2 linked regions of the Mytilus edulis genome follow. The protein of the gene in region 2 binds, or shares a complex with, the protein of the main gene of each other region. Links are inferred from orthologs where the notes say so. Each region holds a gene or a part of one and is shown on either strand. Other genes may lie near its edges. The genes, in order: mediator of RNA polymerase II transcription subunit 18-like and mediator of RNA polymerase II transcription subunit 20-like.

The links.
Region 1: mediator of RNA polymerase II transcription subunit 20-like (region 2) and mediator of RNA polymerase II transcription subunit 18-like share a complex: the UniProt entries of both Drosophila melanogaster proteins name them as parts of the mediator complex. The link is inferred for Mytilus edulis from reciprocal best matches to the Drosophila melanogaster genes MED20 and MED18.

Annotation. Positions count from the first base shown.
Region 1 is NC_092350.1:56,517,677-56,528,305, forward strand, and holds the start of mediator of RNA polymerase II transcription subunit 18-like, read left to right. Parts: upstream 1-6,604; 5' UTR 6,605-6,707; intron 6,708-7,420; exon of another isoform or gene 7,421-7,624; intron 7,625-7,904; exon of another isoform or gene 7,905-8,060; 5' UTR 8,061-8,082; coding exon 8,083-8,260; intron 8,261-9,248; coding exon 9,249-9,315; intron 9,316-10,507; coding exon 10,508-10,629. Other genes in the region: E3 ubiquitin-protein ligase TRIM71-like, read right to left, coding at 1-1,516. UniProt on the Drosophila melanogaster protein: Component of the Mediator complex, a coactivator involved in the regulated transcription of nearly all RNA polymerase II-dependent genes.
Region 2 is NC_092344.1:16,047,795-16,058,154, reverse strand, and holds the start of mediator of RNA polymerase II transcription subunit 20-like, read left to right. Parts: upstream 1-7,360; 5' UTR 7,361-7,375; coding exon 7,376-7,410; intron 7,411-9,982; coding exon 9,983-10,125; intron 10,126-10,360. Other genes in the region: small nuclear ribonucleoprotein F, read right to left, coding at 2,219-2,285, 3,175-3,239, 4,023-4,148, 6,109-6,114. UniProt on the Drosophila melanogaster protein: Component of the Mediator complex, a coactivator involved in the regulated transcription of nearly all RNA polymerase II-dependent genes.

The sequences.
Region 1 (10,629 bases), on a different chromosome or scaffold from region 2:
CCACATACACATAACCATCATTATCTACAGCGACCCCTAGAGGATTATCCAGAACGCTTTCATTTTGGAAGGTCCATTGTATTCCACCTTGAAAATTATAACATGTAACAGTGTGTGCTAGTCTGTTTGTATGATAGATGTTGTCTTTGAACGTTGCTAGGTAACCTTCAGTGGCCATCTCTTCTTGGACTATGTCGCTCGAAGACTCGTCATTCAGAGTTATCATTCGTATGCCTTTGTTGTAAGCGGAATAAATCAACTGATTGTCCTTCAATACTAAGCCATAATTCTGAGAATCCAGTGAAATTGTTTTCTTGATTAGTTTCCTCTCCAGGTCTATAATGGAAAGACATTGCTTATCTGATTCCCCGGATGTAACAACCAATGTATTGGTATCGCCGATGTTTATTATATGAAATACTCCACACGGTATCTCCATCTCAAAATCTTTTGATCCCTCCATGTTGAAGACTTTCACTGTCCTTTCATCGCGGAAAGTAAATGCCAATCTACCATCCAGCAGCATGCAACATCCGTAAACGCGTTGTCCTTGTGTGTTTATTGTCTTGTTTATACGCAGCTGTATATCTTCAATGGATCTTGCTTGAACGATTGGTACCATTATCTGGGCTTGTTTAGCATTCTTTCTACTCAGGACAAGATCGCAAGGTTTAGCTTCAATATATACTTCTCCAAAACTAGTTACATTTGACATGATATTCTGAATAGCACCGTTTATTTTATACTCTAGAGAACTCTGGTTCAAATCCTCACCTTGGAAAAGTGAGTGCAGGAACTTTTCTTTGCTAGAGACGTCCTCTTTTATATGCTTCATTGAAAGAAACATCTGAAGGTGCGTTCCGTGTTGTTTGATGTTTCCAATGTTTCGCTGACAATCGGCAACTTCCTTTTCCTTCTTTTCCAATGTTGATATTAACCGACGAATTTTCGAGTTTTCTTTATCTTCGTCCACATTCAGTTGTTTTATTAAATCTTTTTGTAATTTGTCAAGACGGTTGTTGATCTTTTTTCTTGTCTTCTCGATTTCTTCTTCAATTTCCTTTCTCCTCTCTTTCAAAGCTGAAATATTATCCTGTTGGTTCTCACGAATTTTTTTGATGTTTTCTGCTATTTCAACTAATGTTTCCTCTATCTCGGACAAGTCATTCGATGTTTTTGAATTAAGAATGACGTCATCTAAATTAACGATGTCATGGCATTCTTTATGGCTTTCTACAATACACTTGCTGCAACAAGGACATTCATGCATCTGGCAATAGATTTGAAACTTTTGATTGTGTTTGCTACAGATTTGACTAATCTTTAGTACATCAGCTGGTAATTGCTTGTATTCAATGATTGGTATCACTTTATGGTTTCTTGTTCCTTTGGACAAACTGTGATGTTCCTGGCATTCTGTACATAGTCCCTCGTCACATTCTGTGCACCAGATTGTAGATGGTTTGTTGATGTGGCGTGCGTCACAAACACCACAGTTTTGAGAGGATGTCGCCATTTCACACAAAAAACTGCAAATAAATATCAATAAAGAATAACAATTAACAGTAGTTGTTTAAAACAATATAACTAGAGGATCTTAAGCCTGTGTCGCTCACCTTGGTCTATGTGCATATTAAACAAAGGACACAGATGGATTCATGACATTGTGTTTTGGTGATGGTGATGTGTTTGTAGATCTTACTTTACTGAACATTCTTGCTTCTTACAATTATCTCAATTTATAATGAACTTGGCCCATTAGTTAAAGAGGAAAATATTTTATTAAAATTTACAAAAATTTACAAAATGATTAAAAATGGACTATAAAGGGCAATAACTCCTTAAGGGGTCAACTGACCTTGTTGGTCATCTTGACTTATTTGTGGATCTTACTTTGCCAAACATTATTGCTATTTATAGTTTATCTCTATCTATAATAATATTCAAGATAATAACCAAAAACAGCAAAATTTCCTAAAAATTACTAATTCAGGGGCAGCAACCAAACAACCGATTGTCTGATTCATCTGAAAATTTCAGGGCAGATAGATCTTGACTTGCAAAACAATTTAACCCCCATGTCTGAATTGCTCTTAATGCTTTGGTTTCAGAGCTATAAGCCAAAATCTACATGTTACCCCTATGTTCTATTTTGAGCCCTGGCTGCCATCTTGGTTGGTTGGCAGGGTAACCGCACACATTTTTTTAAAACAAGATACCTCAATGATGATTATGGCCAAGTATGGTTAAATTTGGACCAGTAGTTTTAGAGGAGAAGATTTTTGTAAAAGATTACAAAAAATTACGAAAAATTGGTAAAAAATGACTATAAAGGGCAACAACTCCTTAAGGGGTCAACTGACCATTTTAGTCATATTAACTTATTTGTAGATCTTATTTTGTTGAACATTATTGCTGTTTACAGTTTATCTCTATCTATAATAATAGCCAAGATAATAGCCAAAAAACATTATAATTTCCTTAAAATTGCCAATTCAGGGGCAGCAACCGGTTGTCCGATTCGTCTGAAAATTTGAGGGCTGATAGATCTTGACCTGATAAACAATTTTACCCCCTTGTCAGATTTGCTCTAAATGCTTTGGTTTCAGAGTTATAAGTCAAAATCTACATTTTACCCCTATGTTCTATTTTTAGCCATGGTGGCCATCTTGGTTGGTTGGCCGGATCACGTCACACATTTTTAAAACTAGATACCCCAATAATAATTGTGACCAAGTTTGGTTTAATTTAGCCCAGTAGTTTCAGAGGAGAAGACTTTTGTAAAAGTTAACAACGCCGGACGACGACGACGACGACGGACGACGACGACGACGACGACGACGGATGACGACGACGACGGACGACGGACGCAAAGTGATGAGAAAAGCTCACTTGGCCCTTCGGGCCAGGTGAGCTAAAAAGGGCACAGTCCGCTTGAAAGTCCTTAAATGTAGCAATACGGGGTCATCCGTATTCTAACGGACTTGCTGACTATATTTTCTTATTGTCTCTTTTTAGATCAAATATCGAATTGCTCGAATATAAAATTACACTAATTTTAAATAAACATTTGACAAATTTGGTCTATTCACAAGTATTAATTAAGCTTAATGACATTGACTTTTTAAGTTCTATTTTACTTATTTTTTAGAAAGATTGTAACAACACAAAACAGTCATGATTGAAAAGTTATGAAATAAATTACAGAAATTTACATCATGACACCTAAGTTCATTTTCTATTCTCTTAACCCCGTCCGGACAATCAGAGGTACAAGAAGGTTAAAACCGAGTAAGCCGAAAGCTATAATTGTATACAAATACAAAATTTATTGTTCAGAAATAGATTTTATTAAAACAAATCTTACTTCAATTTCTATATAAAATGAAAACAAGTTATAAATTTCATGAGACCGAGGTACTTTCCTTCACACTTAAAGCCGAATATTTGAAATCTAAGATCTAATGATATTCTTAACAGTTGAAGGGCTATATGACCAAAAAGGACCTATAAAATATAGCCTGGCATGATACTACTTGTAATATTGTTAAACTATCTGGGCCTCTCATAAAGGTTAATAAACGATTACATAACTAGTATGGCTATACATATGCTTTCATTGTAGCACATTGCATGTGATGACAGAGCCCTGCTTCAGTGTGCAGTGTTGTCGTGTTCTTCTTATAGAAATACCAACATATGAATATATAGCAAAAAAAGGTTTTATTCATAGTCTACGGGTGCATCACTCGCACCACCATTTTTAATGTTCATTAGACCTTATATTTGGGTCAAAACTCTAATTTGGAGTTCAACTTCATCAAAAACTACCTTGACCAAAAACTTTAACCAACAAGAATGTGTCGACCCCCAGTACACGGATGCCCCATCCGCACTATCATTTTCTATGTTCAGTGGACCATATAAATGAGAGAAAATCTCTACGTTGGCATTAAAATTAGAAAGACCATATCATAGGGAACATGTGTACTAAGTTTCAAGTTGATTGGACTTCAACTTCATCAAAAACTACCTCGACCAAAAACTTTAACCTGAAAACTTTAACCTGAATCGGGGCAGACAGTCCAACGAACAGACGGACGGACGCACAGAACAGAAAACATAATGCCCATAAATGGGGCATAAAAACTTTTACCTGAAGCGGGACAGACGATCGAAGGAACGCACGGACGGATGCACAACATAATACATCTAAGTGAGGCATACAAAGCATTTGTTTGGGCATGTATCTGTATTTTCCTTATTTTATATCTTCATGAAATGATACTCATGCGCTAATGCATGCAGTAGTTGAACTTCAACTGATGCGTATGTGAATTAAACGGGGAAAAAGGATATATGATATATCCAAATATTTGCACTACCGATATCGATGAAACATGTATGTCCGTGTATATATCCAGATTGATTGATTGATTGTTGGTTGCTTAACGTCCAGTGGCAAATGTTCCATGCATGTTCAAGACGAGAACAACATCATATATATCCAGTGAAAAAGTGTTTACTGTCTGTCCTAAGAGACCAATAGATGACCACATTTTAAGGGTTGCTGATAAAAAAAAAAAAGGACAAATACCTTGCAGCAGAACGAAAGTAGAAATATTATATGTTATTCAGGTCTCAGACAGGGTATATACTGTGACATTCCCGGCTTAGAGTTTATATCCCCTGAGCCGAAGGCGAAGGGGATATAAGCCCTAAGCCGGGAATGTCACAGTATATACCCTTTCTGAGACCTGAATTACACATATATTACGGATTACCCCTGACTTAATGTTATTTTCCAGTGCAGGTATTTGTTGACAACACATATATATTGAAAAACCCAACCTTATATGTTCGGCATACGTGAAGGATTTTTTAATTTTCTGTGAACATAATTTTATCGTGTATGTAATAATTTATAATAACACTTTTAACATCAAATTAAAGTATTAAAAGTGTTAATTGCGTGATTTTGTATCAAAAATGTATTATTGACTGAAGCACGTCATTATTTTCCCTCTGTGAACCTCTGACAGTCTGATAGCTTATGACTACGTCACATAGTAACCGGTGTTATGATGACGTTTTTGAGGTTCCAATTGGGGATAGAAACGTAGTATATACCCCGGCAGTTTCCTGAATATATACTGACATCTCTGAGTTGTTATCCAATCAGAAACCTCGACACATTTGTAATCCGTAATATTATATGTTATTCAGGTCTCAGACAGGGTATATACTGTGACATTCCCGGCTTAGAGTTTATATCCCCTGAGCCGAAGGCGAAGGGGATATAAGCCCTAAGCCGGGAATGTCACAGTATATACCCTTTCTGAGACCTGAATTACACATATATTACGGATTACCCCTGACTTAATGTTATTTTCCAGTGCAGGTATTTGTTGACAACACATATATATTGAAAAACCCAACCTTATATGTTCGGCATACGTGAAGGATTTTTTAATTTTCTGTGAACATAATTTTATCGTGTATGTAATAATTTATAATAACACTTTTAACATCAAATTAAAGTATTAAAAGTGTTAATTGCGTGATTTTGTATCAAAAATGTATTATTGACTGAAGCACGTCATTATTTTCCCTCTGTGAACCTCTGACAGTCTGATAGCTTATGACTACGTCACATAGTAACCGGTGTTATGATGACGTTTTTGAAGTTCCAATTGGGGATAGAAACGTAGTATATACCCCGGCAGTTTCCTGAATATATACTGACATCTCTGAGTTGTTATCCAATCAGAAACCTCGACACATTTGTAATCCGTAATATATATATATACTTTGACAAATTTCACTTTAGTCTAATGTATGTTATAGCAATATTATATATATATATAGGGAAATAAACAAAACGGCAGAATTAAAGATGAAAAAAGAATTAATATAGCAAATATCGAATGAAATCTAAAAATTACCTTTTTAATTTGACATATTCGTTCTCGTGTGGTTTATCAGCTAGAAAGATTAGTATTCATGTGATCGTTTATAAACGGATAAAAAGCGGGAATTTTAAAATTCTGTGTATGCATTTACGAGTACGATAGTTAATTGATAGTGACGTTTTAGATATAAACATAATTATTCTTCGACTTTCTAAATTCCAGTCGCTATAGTTCTTTGCTATATATATTTCAGTATATAATATTAATTTATTTCCTTTATGCAAAAGGTTAACAATACTGGCGTCAATATTTGTATGATTTCGTGAGACTAGAAATCCTTGCGAAGATCTTTTAAGATTTCTAAGCACGGGGGAGGGGGGGGGGGGGGGGGTAGAAACCCAAACCCCCCTAAATCCGCTAGTGGGACAACAAAAATAATGAATAAAAAATAATGGGGTGCTATAATATGAGGTGATAACAAGGCTCCAAAATTAAACAATTCGGTAAAACATATATATATATCTTATTCTTATTCTTATATATATACACTGATTAAAGAAAATAATAATGTCCAGAATTTACTCCCAATTTCAGAGTAGCTATTCGAGTATTAAAATAACCGGCGTACTCCTCACCCCTATCAATAACCTTTGATTCCGTAACCGTTTGTCGTTGAAACCGAACTCGATTTCGTTTTTATATGGTTAGTACAGTTTCCGGTTTCAGTTTTGTTTTTATTTTCAGAAACTGAACAATGTATTTTGGTACAATTGCTTGTAATCGAACATTTTAAGGGTAACTTTAATACTTCAATATCACAAGAGGTTTAATCCTGATATAAATGATAGAGCACAATGTCACTCAAAGCAATAACAGTAGGGAAATAAGAATAAAAGGGCAAAATTATATATGACATCTATAATGATCTACATGTATAATAGCCTATATAAAAACCATTGTTGTAAATATGACATGTATGGATAAGAGTAAGAAGACATTGAATAAAAGAAAATAAATAAGAAAAAATGAAAAGACATTTACAACAAGAAAAAAGAGATAAGAAAATGCATACCTGCCAACTTTTCAAAATGACCATGGGGGTTTTGCATGCAAGATCATGAACATTGATGAAGATGGCTCCTATATCGCAATATATGTAGTCCTACAAAACCTTCAAGGGGGCCTTCAAATTCATTTTAATGTTGGTTTTTGGCTTCTGCATACTTTTACACGCCAATAGCCATTGTAAAATTCATTGTTTTGTTTAAAATTTTGGACAAAATTGCTATTTCAAAATTTACATTTTGGAGCTTCCATGGGGGAAATCCCCCACCAATAGTGACAGTTGGCAGGTATGAAAATGGAGGAACCATGCACCAAGTGAAGTACCTGTGCTCTAAAATTGAATGATAAATCATATGAGGCAGGCTTTATCTTGAACATGTTGAAAGGGGACAAATATTCTGACATTTTTCTAATTGGTCTCATCAAATTTTTGTGAAAGCTTACTAGTCTGAGAAAGGCGTCCCAGAAAAAAAATGAAGAAGCCTTGCCAGACGTCTTATTATTTGGACTAGGGAATTGGACTATAGTGGGTAACGGGTCAGACTGATATACACAAGACAGGAATATCATACATGTACTCTTTGTGCAGCTGTTTCTATTTACATGTAATATGAGGCAGGCATTACCTGTAAATGGGGACGAAGTCTGTATGAATTATTTTTTTTGAACCTTAAATATATTTGTTAAAAAAAAGAAACGGAAATACCGTAACGTTTCCGATTTTGGTTCTGTTGTTAGGTATTTTAGTTGTGACGTTATTTAAGTTATGACGTCATATGCAATGTAAACAAAGAAACGCTATCATCAGGTAATGTTTTTTTCATATCAAGGAATTATCAAAAATGAAATTGGTATTGCGTTCCTTCCTATTTTATACTAGACTGATAAATATATATTTTACTCAAAGTTTCATACAAATGAGACCAGAAAAAGGAAGTACATTGTATATTTCTGCACAGATGCGGGAATTCAAAACATAACATAAAAAAATTGAACGATTTTGAGTTCATTAGTACATATACTCTTTGTGCAGCTGTTTCTATTTCTGAATGTTAAAAGTTAAATTAGTTTTTTTTTCTCCAGAAATGAATAATTGTTGATAAATATGATGGATCCACAATTAGCACAAGCATTAAAGGCAGCACCAACCAATGAATACCTTCTACAAGGAAGCATTTTAGACAGTTCGTTAGAAGTCTTATTGTGTAGACTGAAAGGTCTTTGTGATCATGCTGATTCTCCTGAAGAAAAATTTGTAGATCATGAAATGGTGTATGCCATCAGTAAGTATTCAGTAAAATGACGGTAAATGTTGAATAATTACATTACATGTATGTTTCAATATATGTTACTTTAACTGGCTAACAGCAATCTGGAGTCATTCTGAAATTAACCTGAATTTTAAAATGAAAATCAAAAATGTAACATTTATGAAGACAGGAGCTTTCACAATAACATGCACATATAAATAAAAGAAAGTCTTGTTTTCATGATTCTAGAATTTTCTAGCAAAAGAATTTAATTATTAATATTGAATGCTTCTTTAAATAAGTTTATAGGGTTGTTGAAGTGTTGACTGTGCACATTTTTAGAATGAAGTGCTTCTGTGGCTCAAAGAAAATGTACCCCGGCCAACACTTTTACATCCATATAAATTTACAAAAAAAACATGTCATTCTTAATTGAATATTAGTTAAACTAAGTATAGTTTTACTAATAACAGTACTTAATGAGGAAGTAATAGTTATCTATTTGATACACTTGAGCAATATGCATGTTTATAATAACATAAAAAGAAGAAATTATGCTTGATTTATTTTTTTTAAACATTTTAATATAATATAAAAAAGAAGATGTGGTTTTATTGACAATGAGACATCTCTCCACAAGAGACTAAATGACAAAGAAATTAACCATTTAGGTTGTTGTACTGCCCTTAACACTGAGCAAAGCCCATACCCAATAGTCAGCTATTGAAGGCCTCAAAATTACAAACGTAAAAAAAATTCAAACAAGAAAACTAACAGCATGAACAGCCTAATTAATGAACAAAGAAAAGAATGAAAAACAGATAAAGTAAATTTTTAGATAAGCCCATCTGTGTGTTTTGTAAACCTAATACTATACTCTGAAATTGGTAAAAATTAATGCTGTGACTTGAATGGAGAGTTGTCTCATTGGCACTTATACCCCATCTTCTTATATCTTTTAACTGTAATCATCAAGTCTTGTTTTGCTTTAATCTTTTCTTTTTATTATATTTCAAATCAGAGAATGCCAGCATTCCTCAGCCATTACAATATAGTGTCAGACATTCCCTGGTTCAACCAGAAAACTGGTAAGTCCCTGTCCAGTACTCATTGTGTTGTTGGCGGTATGTTTTTTCTACATGAGGTATAGGGGGAGGTTGAGATTTCAAAAAACAAGTTTAACCCAGCTGCAATTTTGTGCTTGTCCTGAGTCAGGAGCCTTTGTTAGTCTTATATGAATTTTAATTTTAGTTTCTTGTGTATAGTTTGGAGTTTAGTATGACTTCCATTATCACTGAACTTGTATACATATTTGTTTAGGGGCAAGCTGAAGGACGCCTCTGGATGCGGGAGTTTCACTCTATATTGAAGACCCTTTGGTGGCCTTTGGCTGTTGTCTTCTTTATGATCGGTTTGTTGTCGCTTTGATGCATTCCCCATTTTTATTCTCAATTTTATTGAGAAATTGAATTGATGTAATTTAGAAAGGTACTGAAAAATATTGCAAATATTATGAATTCATTTGTAGGAGCAGTTGCTATAGATCTGCTCAAAAATAGTTTACAATTTGAAAAGAATTCATAAGTCACATATGCATGTACACGTAATTTCAACTATTTTCACCAATAAACATGATAAAAGTCACAAAAGGAAAAAAAAGTAATGAAAATTTTCTTATACCTAACAAATGTATGTACATCATGTACATGCGCAAAGGTTTTGCAGGACCGTTTACATTCAGTTATTGAATCTGGTTCCTTTATAACTTGGAAGAAAAAGAAGAAGACATGTATACTGAAATTTTTATTCTTTTTTGATCATTTTATGAAAATAAATGAATAGTTGCAGTTATTTCAAGTTTTGACCAAATTGAAATGTAATAAAAACTTACATTTTGTAAAATCATGACAGTATTTTTTAGATTTTTTTACCTTTATAGTTTGTTTTTTGTTGATTCAGCATATTCAGAACTGGAATTAAATTTTAGTTATTGTTTTGTTGAAATTTGCTCATATGAAATAATGAAATAATTTTGAATATAGGAATATATCAGAATATATCCTTCTTGCTTCTATACCTAATCCTTAAAGATATTTGGCTATTTTTTTGTTTGCCTTTTTTTTTATATAAACTCCCAAGTTTGTATTAGGGTTGGGATTTAAAAAAAATCCAAACTCAAGCACTAATAAAGTAATATAAATTGTTGAAATGTGTATTTGATGCAGTAAAATTGGCACTGCAAATGTTCACTTAGTAAAATTTATTATCTTATATTTTCAGGCAGCTACGATACCTTGGTCATTCTGAGATGGGAGATAAAAGTCGACACACACTAATAAGGAACTGTGTTGATGTAGCTACCTCAGATAATGTTTTACAGTTTCTTCATGAAGTTGGTTTCA
Region 2 (10,360 bases):
GTCAGATTTGCTCTAAATGCTTCCATTTTTGAGATATAAGCCAAAAACTGCATTTGACCCCTATGTTCTATTTTAAGTAACGGCGGCCATGTTTTTTGACGGATCAAAAATCGAAGCACACACTTTGTGCAGGATAATCTAAGGAACAATCATTTTAAGTTTCATTCAAATCCATTCAGTAGTTTCAGAGGAGAAGATGTTTGAAAAATTGTTAACGACGACAGATGACGACGACGGACGCCAAGTGATGAGAAAAGCTCACTTGGCCTTTTAGGCCAGGTGAGCTAAAAAGAAAATGTGATATGATTGCCAATGAAACAACTCTTCACATGAGACCAAAATGACACATAAATTAACAACTATAGGCCACCGTACGACCTTCAACAATGAGCAAAGCCCATACCGCAAAGTCAGCTATAAAAGGCTGAAATGAAATGAAATAACAATGTAAATCAATTTAAATGAGAAAACTACTGGCCTTATTTATTTACAAAAATGAACGAAATGGTATGGTTCATCAGACCAAAGACATATAATATTATGTATTGTATATTAAATAATTTGATCAGACTACGACTTCATTTTCATAGAATGCTGATAATTTTTAAGTTGATGTGATATTTGTAGTAAAATCTTCAAATTTCAGACTGACCATGAAACCAATAATCAGTAAAACAGACAAGAGACACTTCAGCATGTGAATTCTTATATTTTTTTTGTACCTTGACCTCATTTTCACGGTTTATTGGTCTGAAATTTTGTATTTTGGTTTTCCACTATAAGTAATAGGTCAACTATATTTGGTGTGGAATTGTCAAGTTTCTGTAGTAAAAAATCCTTTTGTAAGATACCACAATTAGTAGGTCAACTTTATTTGGAATGGTTGTAAGATGAACATGTCTGCCGTACAGGGTTTATCTGACTTTCACCTTAAATTATTGTTTTAAATATTAATTTTCCAAATGAAATCTGTTTCTCAGATACTATAAACAATTAGGTCCACTATATATTTGATGTACGGAATGATTGTTACTGTTAGTTGTACATGTCTGTCTGACAGTCTTCACCTGACCATGACCTCATGTTCATTGTTCATTTTTTTGGTCTGTTTCTTGTATACTTTAAGCAAGAGGTCAATCATAATTGGTGTATTCATTGTAAGTTTATTCTCATCCTAAAAATACACGAAATATTTGCCTCAGTTAAGCAAACAATAGTCAATCATAAAAACTTAGCCCTGTACAAATCTTAAGAACTTTTAACATTGTACCAATAATGATTGTCGTCACTGCCAGTTTATCTCTGGTTAAAAAAATTAATTTGAGCATACAGGAATCCCATCTTTGAGAAAATGTATGAAGGCAATCCTTTAACTTTGGTATCACCAGTCTTGAGAAATGAATAGTCTTATCCTATCTTTAAATCTTAACATTTTACCATTACATCAAAACTGTAAATTACGAGGAACTGGAAGAGTGATTGTCTGAAAACATGGACAAATAAAAGACTTGATAACAGAAACAGGGGTTGTGTAAAAGAGACAACAACTCAACCAAAGAGCAAAGATCAGCTGGCCCGAACAATAATGTATACTTAGTTCAGCAAATTGGACAACACACTTAACTCAAAACATAACCCATTTTGCACGCAGGAAAGACAAAGTAATGGAAAGGATATCAGATAGAGATGTCTTGGCTCTGGTTATAAATTAGGAAATACCTGCTTTTGTATACTTTTATCCTTCAAACAAGGCAAAACTTTATAAACTGCTATAAGGAAATATAAACTGGAAAAAGTGAGTAAACAAAAGTTAACATACAATTTTTAAAAATCATTTGATTAGAGCTACATATTCCTGGGCCTATAGAAAACTCTAATATACCACAACAAATTACTTTATTTGTTGTTAAAACAATATATGTACAACATAATAAAATCTTATAACCATGTATCATATGCGATGTTAATTGTTTTATGTTTGTTCCAAGTCTTGTCTGCCTTAGAGTAAATGAGATGATACAAAAAAGTATGAAGATGGCTTAGTTCCTGCTCAATAACCTTTGCATCCATGATTCACTTCACAATTTATAGAATACATACATTAACATGATATTCAAATGGAAATGATTAAAATGTTCAAAATTTATAAAAAGATGTGTCCATCAAAAGATGAGATGATAACAATAATGAATGAATGAGAGATGGTAAAATGGAGATCTTAGTCCTTCATTTCTCCTTCTTCATCTTCTTCTTCCACTCCTCTGATGTACAAAACATTGTTACATCTGAAACAGAAAAGTAACAGACATTATTTATCTAATATGTATAGTCATTCTAATAATTATGATTCAAACTTTCTTTTTGCTACACTTTGAATCTTTGTTATTTTTGTTTTTAATCTTGTTAAATTATTTTATCATACATGGCTGACATTTCATATTTGCCATCGTTTTCCCTTTGGATGAAACTAATTCATGAATTTTCTTTTTTTACATTTTTTGCCGGTAAGAAATTGATGTGTATCACACTTTCAAATATTTTATAATAATAATAATAAACATCTGGAAATTTATTGTTATAAATGAAAGGTGAACAAAGGAACAAAATTCCATTGAATTGTGCATAGTTTATTTGTCCATGGGCAATATTTTGAATAACAAAAAATATCTTTATAGAAAAAAGGTGGCCTTGAACAGCACTTCCAAGGCAATTTCAATATAATTCATATTTTCAAGGGGCATAACTTTTTTTAACATAAAAGGGGAATGTGAGTTAGTACACGAATGCCCCTTAAGTTTTGCAATTTTCAAAAGTTTTCAGATATAAACCTTTGATATAAGAACGAAAAAATCTGGGAAGAATTGTATATGTGAGAATGCTTTCAAGACTAGACAGATAGACATCTGGTATTTCTATGCTACTGCAAAAAGTGTTGTGTGCAGGGGACATAAAGTTAATAAAGATTAAGTATTCTTAGAAAATACATGAAACAAAGCTTAATACTTTTTTTAAATTACAAATTGACATATAGACTATCTTCAGTGTGCATTTAATTAAAACAATACTTGCACAACATTTCTTCCAAAACTGAAAGCTCAAAAAATTAATCTATTTGAAATATTTGCAGTAAAGTGAAAGGAAATTATACATTATTCTTTATAATTAATTAAATACCTGATTAGAACCTCTCCAAGATTGCCTGTCTGAATACCATCAATGAATTCTTCTGTGTTAGCAAGCTAGAAACATAAAATACACAAAGCTTTAGTAAAACTTATCACTTCACATTTCCTTGAAGCTAGATCTACTTATTTTTATCTACATGTACATGTATGAGATATTATAATTCACATCTTGAAAATATCATTACATGTAACTTTTATCAACAAGTTTATCAATAATTCCAAAAAAATGAAACATGAATACTATATAATATATAATAATATCTGATTTAGCATGTTTAAAGGGCACAGCCATTTTTTTTATTTTGTTGGTACGATTTTCATAAAAAAATCAAAGTTAAAACTTTCCACTTTTTATTACATGTATTATTGCCTGACTATTCTTAATTCATTTCACCTAAAATATAAATGACTATACATGTATCTGTGTAGAAGCATTTACCTCAAATATTAAGAATGTGCATTATTTATCATGTTTCAACATAAACAGACAGAAATGATCACACAAAAACTTTAGTCCTGCTTGTCTGTGTTTTAAGAAAAAATCTGTTGTGATTTCAAAAGAAAATTCATAAATAAAAGACAATCAAAATGGATCTTGAAATTTATTTGCACAACAAAAACCAAAGTAAACTAAACCACTCTTTATAGAGAGTGAATTTCCCTTTATTGTCATAATCATGAAATATATTATACTTAACCATTTTGGAATACAGTCACAATGTTTAAAAATAAAATATTTCATGATTATGACAATTTTTTTTCAAGGAGACAAAACTTAAAAGTACTGCAAGGCAAGTCTTCTACATAATGTTTATTGGTGTCTATAAATCAACTGACCTGTAAGTTCATGTAACCATCTACAGATACCAAGTAGCCTTTATATTCCATTCCCCATTTTAGCTTGACCATCACTGGTTTTCCTGTTAGTCCATTTAAAAATGGTTTCGGGTTCATAGGTAAAGCCTAAAAGTAAACAAAATAAAAAGTTAACAAATACACAAAATAGTGTTTATTATATCATACTAAATAAGTCATATAAACAAGTTTGTAGACAGTACATGTTTATAACATTACATGTATGTTCCATAACTTTTTCATCTCTTAACAATAAAAAGTATAATGTAATAAAAAAAAACAGTCAGCTAATTATTATCTTGCATGTACATGTACACAATGTAGGTCCTACATCAACTGACATTTCAAAGCCTTCTTTTGTCTAGATTTATAAAATTGGGTTTAGAACTGAAACTTTTATCTTCCACTGGAAATTCAAAATAGCATAGTTGAACTTTCTGTTTTAGGCTGTTAAGTACATTTATTGACAATTTCTGCAGGCAATTTGTGGTTAAACAAAATGCTCATTTTATAGACAGCTTTTGAATTCATTACATTTCCAGCAATAACTTCCGTTTTAGTAAACATTGTTCGAATGTTTATGGGCATCTTCACTTCCGTTACTATGTTGTGCAAGTGATATGATGCTACAATGTATATTGCACAAATTATTTGGCAAATCAAATTCTTATAATTGCTCAGTGAACAGAATTGCCCAAAATTGTCAAACAGGCTTATTTATAATACACAGTGTTCTAGCCAGGATTTGAAAAGGGTATGGTGCTACATGTAGTTCAAAAAGGGGCAATTTTACGTGTAACTGCCATTGAAAAAAGGGCAATTTTACATGTTAATTAATGTCACTGAAAAAAAGGCAATTATTTAAGCCTCATAATTAATTAGCACATAACTTTTACTATGCATTCTTGTAAATTCAAGTTTCAGTTAAAATGGAGTAATATATTTCAAATTCAATACTTTTGGCAAATTTTTCATGGTTGACTTCATAAATCTATGGTCATGATGCTGAGACCCTTTCAGGAAGCTGTTTCTTTCATATAACATGTATGTAGTTGCTGTTATATTACCAGTCTCACCAATGTATTAACAGATTTTGTGATTTTTTTATACTAGATTGCACTTGATAGATCAGTTAATGGAAGTAAAGATATAATTTTCAAAATATTTAATTTTGAAGTGTATTCAAGTGAAAATAACTTAAAGAAATATTCTAATATGCATTTGCATTAAATTAATTTTTAATCCTTTTACAAAAAGAAACATAAATTTAAAGAATATAGTGTGAACAGGTGGAAAATAAGGGGAAGTAACTTATTTTGTTGATATACACAAATTATGTTGCATGACCTAAAGCTAAGATTATTTGTGTTAATTGACAATTATGTGTTTGACACCAAAGCTGTCAGAAGAAGCCATGCACTTAATGGGTTACTTAATTTGACAGTTTGCACAGGTAGCTGAACTTCTTGTTCATGGAAGATTTACAAATCAGCAGGTCGTCTGAGGGACAGCAGAAAAAAGGCACGGGCGTTGTGCCCTGTTCAAACTTTGTAGCTAGACCACTGATACACCATATCGCTATTTGTCCACCATTACTGGATATCACACAGGTTCCCATAAAATTTTGACGTCATAAACGAAATATCTGACGCCACAATGGATAAGTGATTGTGTACGATGTCAAAAGTTCAAGCCGTCGGGTCAGCCGGGATAATTTAGCGATAAGGTGTATAAACAGATAAACAGACATAGACTAATTCTTAGATTGACATATATTGGAAGATGGACCCATCACTGATAGTATCAGTATTTAGCTCTGCGTCATAAACTATTTTTTGTAGGTTTAAGTGATAAATTTAAATGAAATGCAAGATAATGGTGTAATGCATGTGTTATAGTAGTCTCAAAATGCATACACAAATAAAATGCGCTTTGTTATGACCTCCCCCTTTTTATATGACATCCTGGATTCCCTTTATTTAAAGCGGAATTTCATAGATTGGTCATTTTACAGAAAAGTAGGGTTAATCTAAGAACTGTGCATCGAAGATGATCAGTATATACGTACGGCCATCGTGTGTTTTCTTGTGTGATTCGATTAATAACAACAGCGTGGTCTATTCGTTTCGCCGCCGGTGGTTAATAAATAATAAGAAATTATTAACCCACAAAAAAACGAAACATTTTAATCAAAATTATTCTAAATTTTACACAATACATCAATTTTAGTGAAATTACATCAAAAGAAGCGATTTTAGTTAAATTAACTAGAATTTTATGAATTTAGTTACACATTAATATATGGTAAACTAAAATTCGTTTTGTTTGAAAACAATGAATAAATAAAATATTAAGTTATGTCCCTTGTTGTACAAAAATAATGAAATGGGAGTTGTGTGGTAATTGTTTGAAATAGGTTCAATGCATGAGCTTAAATGCACCTAACTCATTTTAAGAAATCGCAATCTGTATAGGTTAAAAAAAGTTCAAAGTCATTTCATATTGTAGAAGACTAAAAATAACTAGATTTCACTGTGCACTTTTTTTGGTCCTTGCTAAAGATAATGAAATTAACAAACTGTTGAGTTTCAGTTGATATGGTCCACTCAGTGACACAGTTTAAATCTACAATTATTGTCAGGTATCTATTGTCTCTCTGTTGTCCTTGTCAATGTACAGTCCTCTTCAAATCCAGGTTTTTGAAGAGCTAATACTGGTACTGAAAAAAATTTGATGTATGCCTTTTTGTGCTTCTTCGTTACATTTGTTGTTTTTAGTGATTAGGATGATAACACAATGTTGACTGCTGTACCCCTATTTTTTGACATTTTTACCTATTGTGTCTGTTTGTTTTGTTCATGCATCGGTGACAATATAATGGAATTTGATGCAACTGTCATACAAGTGAGAGGTTTAGCTAGCTATAAAACCAGGTTCAATCCACCATTTTCTACATTTGAAAATGCCTGTACCAAGTCAGGAATATGACAGTTCTTGTCCATTTGTTTATGATGCGTTTTGTTATTTGATTTTGCCATGTGCATGATGTGATTATGGACTTTCCGAATTGATTTTCCTCTGAGTTCAGTATTTTTTTTCCCATGAAATAAAATTTACTATTTAAAAAAATGTAGAATTATAGAAAATTGATGAAAATATGTATAAAACTTTTGCTTACTTTTTAAATTATAAAAAATATTGTATCTAATGGGATGCAGGTCGTTTTCTAACTGAGACGTTTGTAACCTTATAATTACAATATATTTATAATAGTGCGAGTCATAAGTAAATGGCCAGTGGAGCATATGAGTACTGACTTTAACAAGCTAAAGGACATGGCTCCAGTTGGTCGTCTACGAGTAGTTCTACGGTATGTTCAAAAACATTGAACAGTCGACAGTGGCCAAATGCAAGTTGGTGTGTGTTTATGCAATCCATCCCACCATTATTAACGACGTAGAGTGATGGCACAACAACCTTAACACCAAAGCTGTCATCGACAACCATTCATTCTATCTTTGACAAAAAAAAGGAGAAAATAATTATTTTTTTCAGCTTGTGTGCCATTTTTAATACTCTACTATTCACTTTATACCTCATTTTGTACCTACTGTTATTACTTTTTATTACCTGCCATTAGTTGTCCTTAAACCATTAAAGTTGTCACCGAGCATAATTACTAATTAGTTTTAATTGAAAATATTGTTATTATCAGGCCACACCAATTTGATTAATAGTTCTTTGGATTTTCCTGCTCCTGTTTTGGAGAAATTGACTTTTCAATGAAAAAAATAATTATCTCTTCTGCAAATTTTTGGGCCGCATGCCGCTCCAAAATTAGTTTATCATTGACATTTTTTTGTTTATCCTTGACATTTTTTTTTCTCATAGATGTTTTTCTTGTGCACATCCATCGATTCAAATGCACGTGTGATAAATAGATTTGTTAATAAAAGGTCAAAAATTAGGATGCCAACATGAAGTTGTGTCAGTTTATTGCAAAGGACAAGTACCATGAGTACAGAGATAATTTTAATGTGCGTATTGTTATGCGTTTACTTTACTACATTGGTTAGAGGTATAGGGGGAGGGTTGAGATCTCACAAACATGTTTAACCCCGCCGCATTTTTGCGCCTGTCCCAAGTCAGGAGCCTCTGGCCTTTGTTAGTCTTGTATTATTTTAATTTTAGTTTCTTGTGTACAATTTGGAAATTAGTATGGCGTTCATTATCACTGGACTAGTATATATTTGTTTAGGGGCCAGCTGAAGGACGCCTCCGGGTGCGGGAATTTCTCGCTACATTGAGGACCTGTTGGTGACCCTCTGCTGTTGTTTTTTATTTGGGCGGGTTGTTGTCTCTTTGACACATTCCCCATTTCCATTCTCAATTTTATAGAGTACCAGTAGTTATGGTATTAAACACACAGTTATTTGAAATGCATTTCGTTTTATTTATGAAGACCTGTTCTAGGAGATAAAATAAAAAATCTTTCGTTAGATGACCACGATCACATTTGTACTCGTTAGATCCATTGTCATCCCCAATCATTGTTTCAGCTGTTCAACAGACATAGTACGAGATCACTCTAACGTCCATCACACATACATCTAATTATATGCATAAGACATGGATCATGTTTTTCCTTTTTTTTCTTTGAAGTAACCCAGTTTGAACATGAAGATAAAGTTTTAAATTGCACAATTTAAAAAAACACATTTTACCGCTCACTCCACTTGTAGAGCACCTGCCTCATCAAAACTCAATTTCTTGAAATATATACAATCAAAAAAATTTCTCTTGCTTGCCCAATATTTTTTGGAGCTTTTGTCCTAAGAAGTACAAATCAAATTGGTGTGGCCTCAAATGAACATTTTGATCATTTTAAGAAAATAATTGTTTAAATTAAACTATTAAATTGATTTAAACTAACAATTTATAACCATATATAATTACACCAGGTACGAAACGCCTCAGTTACAAATCAACGTAGTTACGAATCAACCAGGTATAAAACGACCAGGTTACGAAAAAATTAGCATTCCTAAAAGTGGAAAGGGATTAATATTAGTTACAAAACTTGTTTTCCAATCCACTATAAATAGATATGTTTAAACGAATTAGCATTCCTGTAATTATGTTTTCATGATGTCACAATTCCTCACATTAATGGTGAAAATCAAAATCTCAAAGATATCTTTCTATTTTTCTGTTTCATATATATTTTGGTCAAAGGGTATGGCCAGTGTTTAAAATGCAGTTTAACAGCAAATTTGAAGGAAAAGGAGAGAATATAACCTTTGTTTGTTTGTATGTCCATACATCCCAAAATTGGTTTCTGTTATCTGAATTTAGTTTTCATCAACCAAATGTTATGAAACTTGTATACACTATACACAATGGTTATTACAACAAAACACAGAGCAATTTTAAATTTTGGTGGTGTTACCTTTACTGTTCAAGAGTTATGCCCCCTTACCATTGAAAATATTGCTGAATTTGTCTTTCTCTAACTTAAGTTTTCCTTTACCAAATGTTATGAAACTTATACACAATGTTTATTACCACAAAACTCAGATCAAGTACAGGTTTGGGTGACTTGAGATCACTTCTTTACTGTTCTTGAGTTATGTCCCTTTATCATGTTTATAATGTCACAAGTAAGTGAAGGCATAATCTGTGTCCCTTGGATACGTTCCCAATTTTTTTATTTTTTTAAAGCATTCTAAACTTTTGAAAATATCTAGTTTATGTGTTATTTTTTTTTAATTTTGCACATTTAAGATTGCAAGTATTGGTAATTAGGTTACAATATATGTATATATGCTATTGTTTGAAATTAAGGGCCAAATTTTGGCTGTCTCTGTCCTATATTTTTCAGTTTCCTTTGATATCCCTTTTTGATAATCATATTCAACTTTGTTCTAATTTTGTCTTTGTAGTATTTTTAGCTATGCTGTGCCTGAGGGTAAGAGTGGACAACAAGCAGTTGATATGTTACAGAAAAATGTAGAATTACTAGGAGCTACAAGATCTGGAAACTTTTGTGTTGATTGTGAAACTTACCAGTCAAATTCACAGAATAGTAAGTTATACATTGTACAAAAAAAGTAATTGTTCCTTGAATCATTATTTATGTAAGGGGATCTTATTATAACATGGTTGACATATCTATCAAAGAAGACCACAGAATTTGTTTTTTTTTTGTTGTTGCAACAACTCTCCCATCCTTTTCCTCATTTATTACTCATCTTCAAATATGACCAGATGGTTATTTTTTGTAAGCAACATTATGATGTGTACTACTTGTATTACTAGGC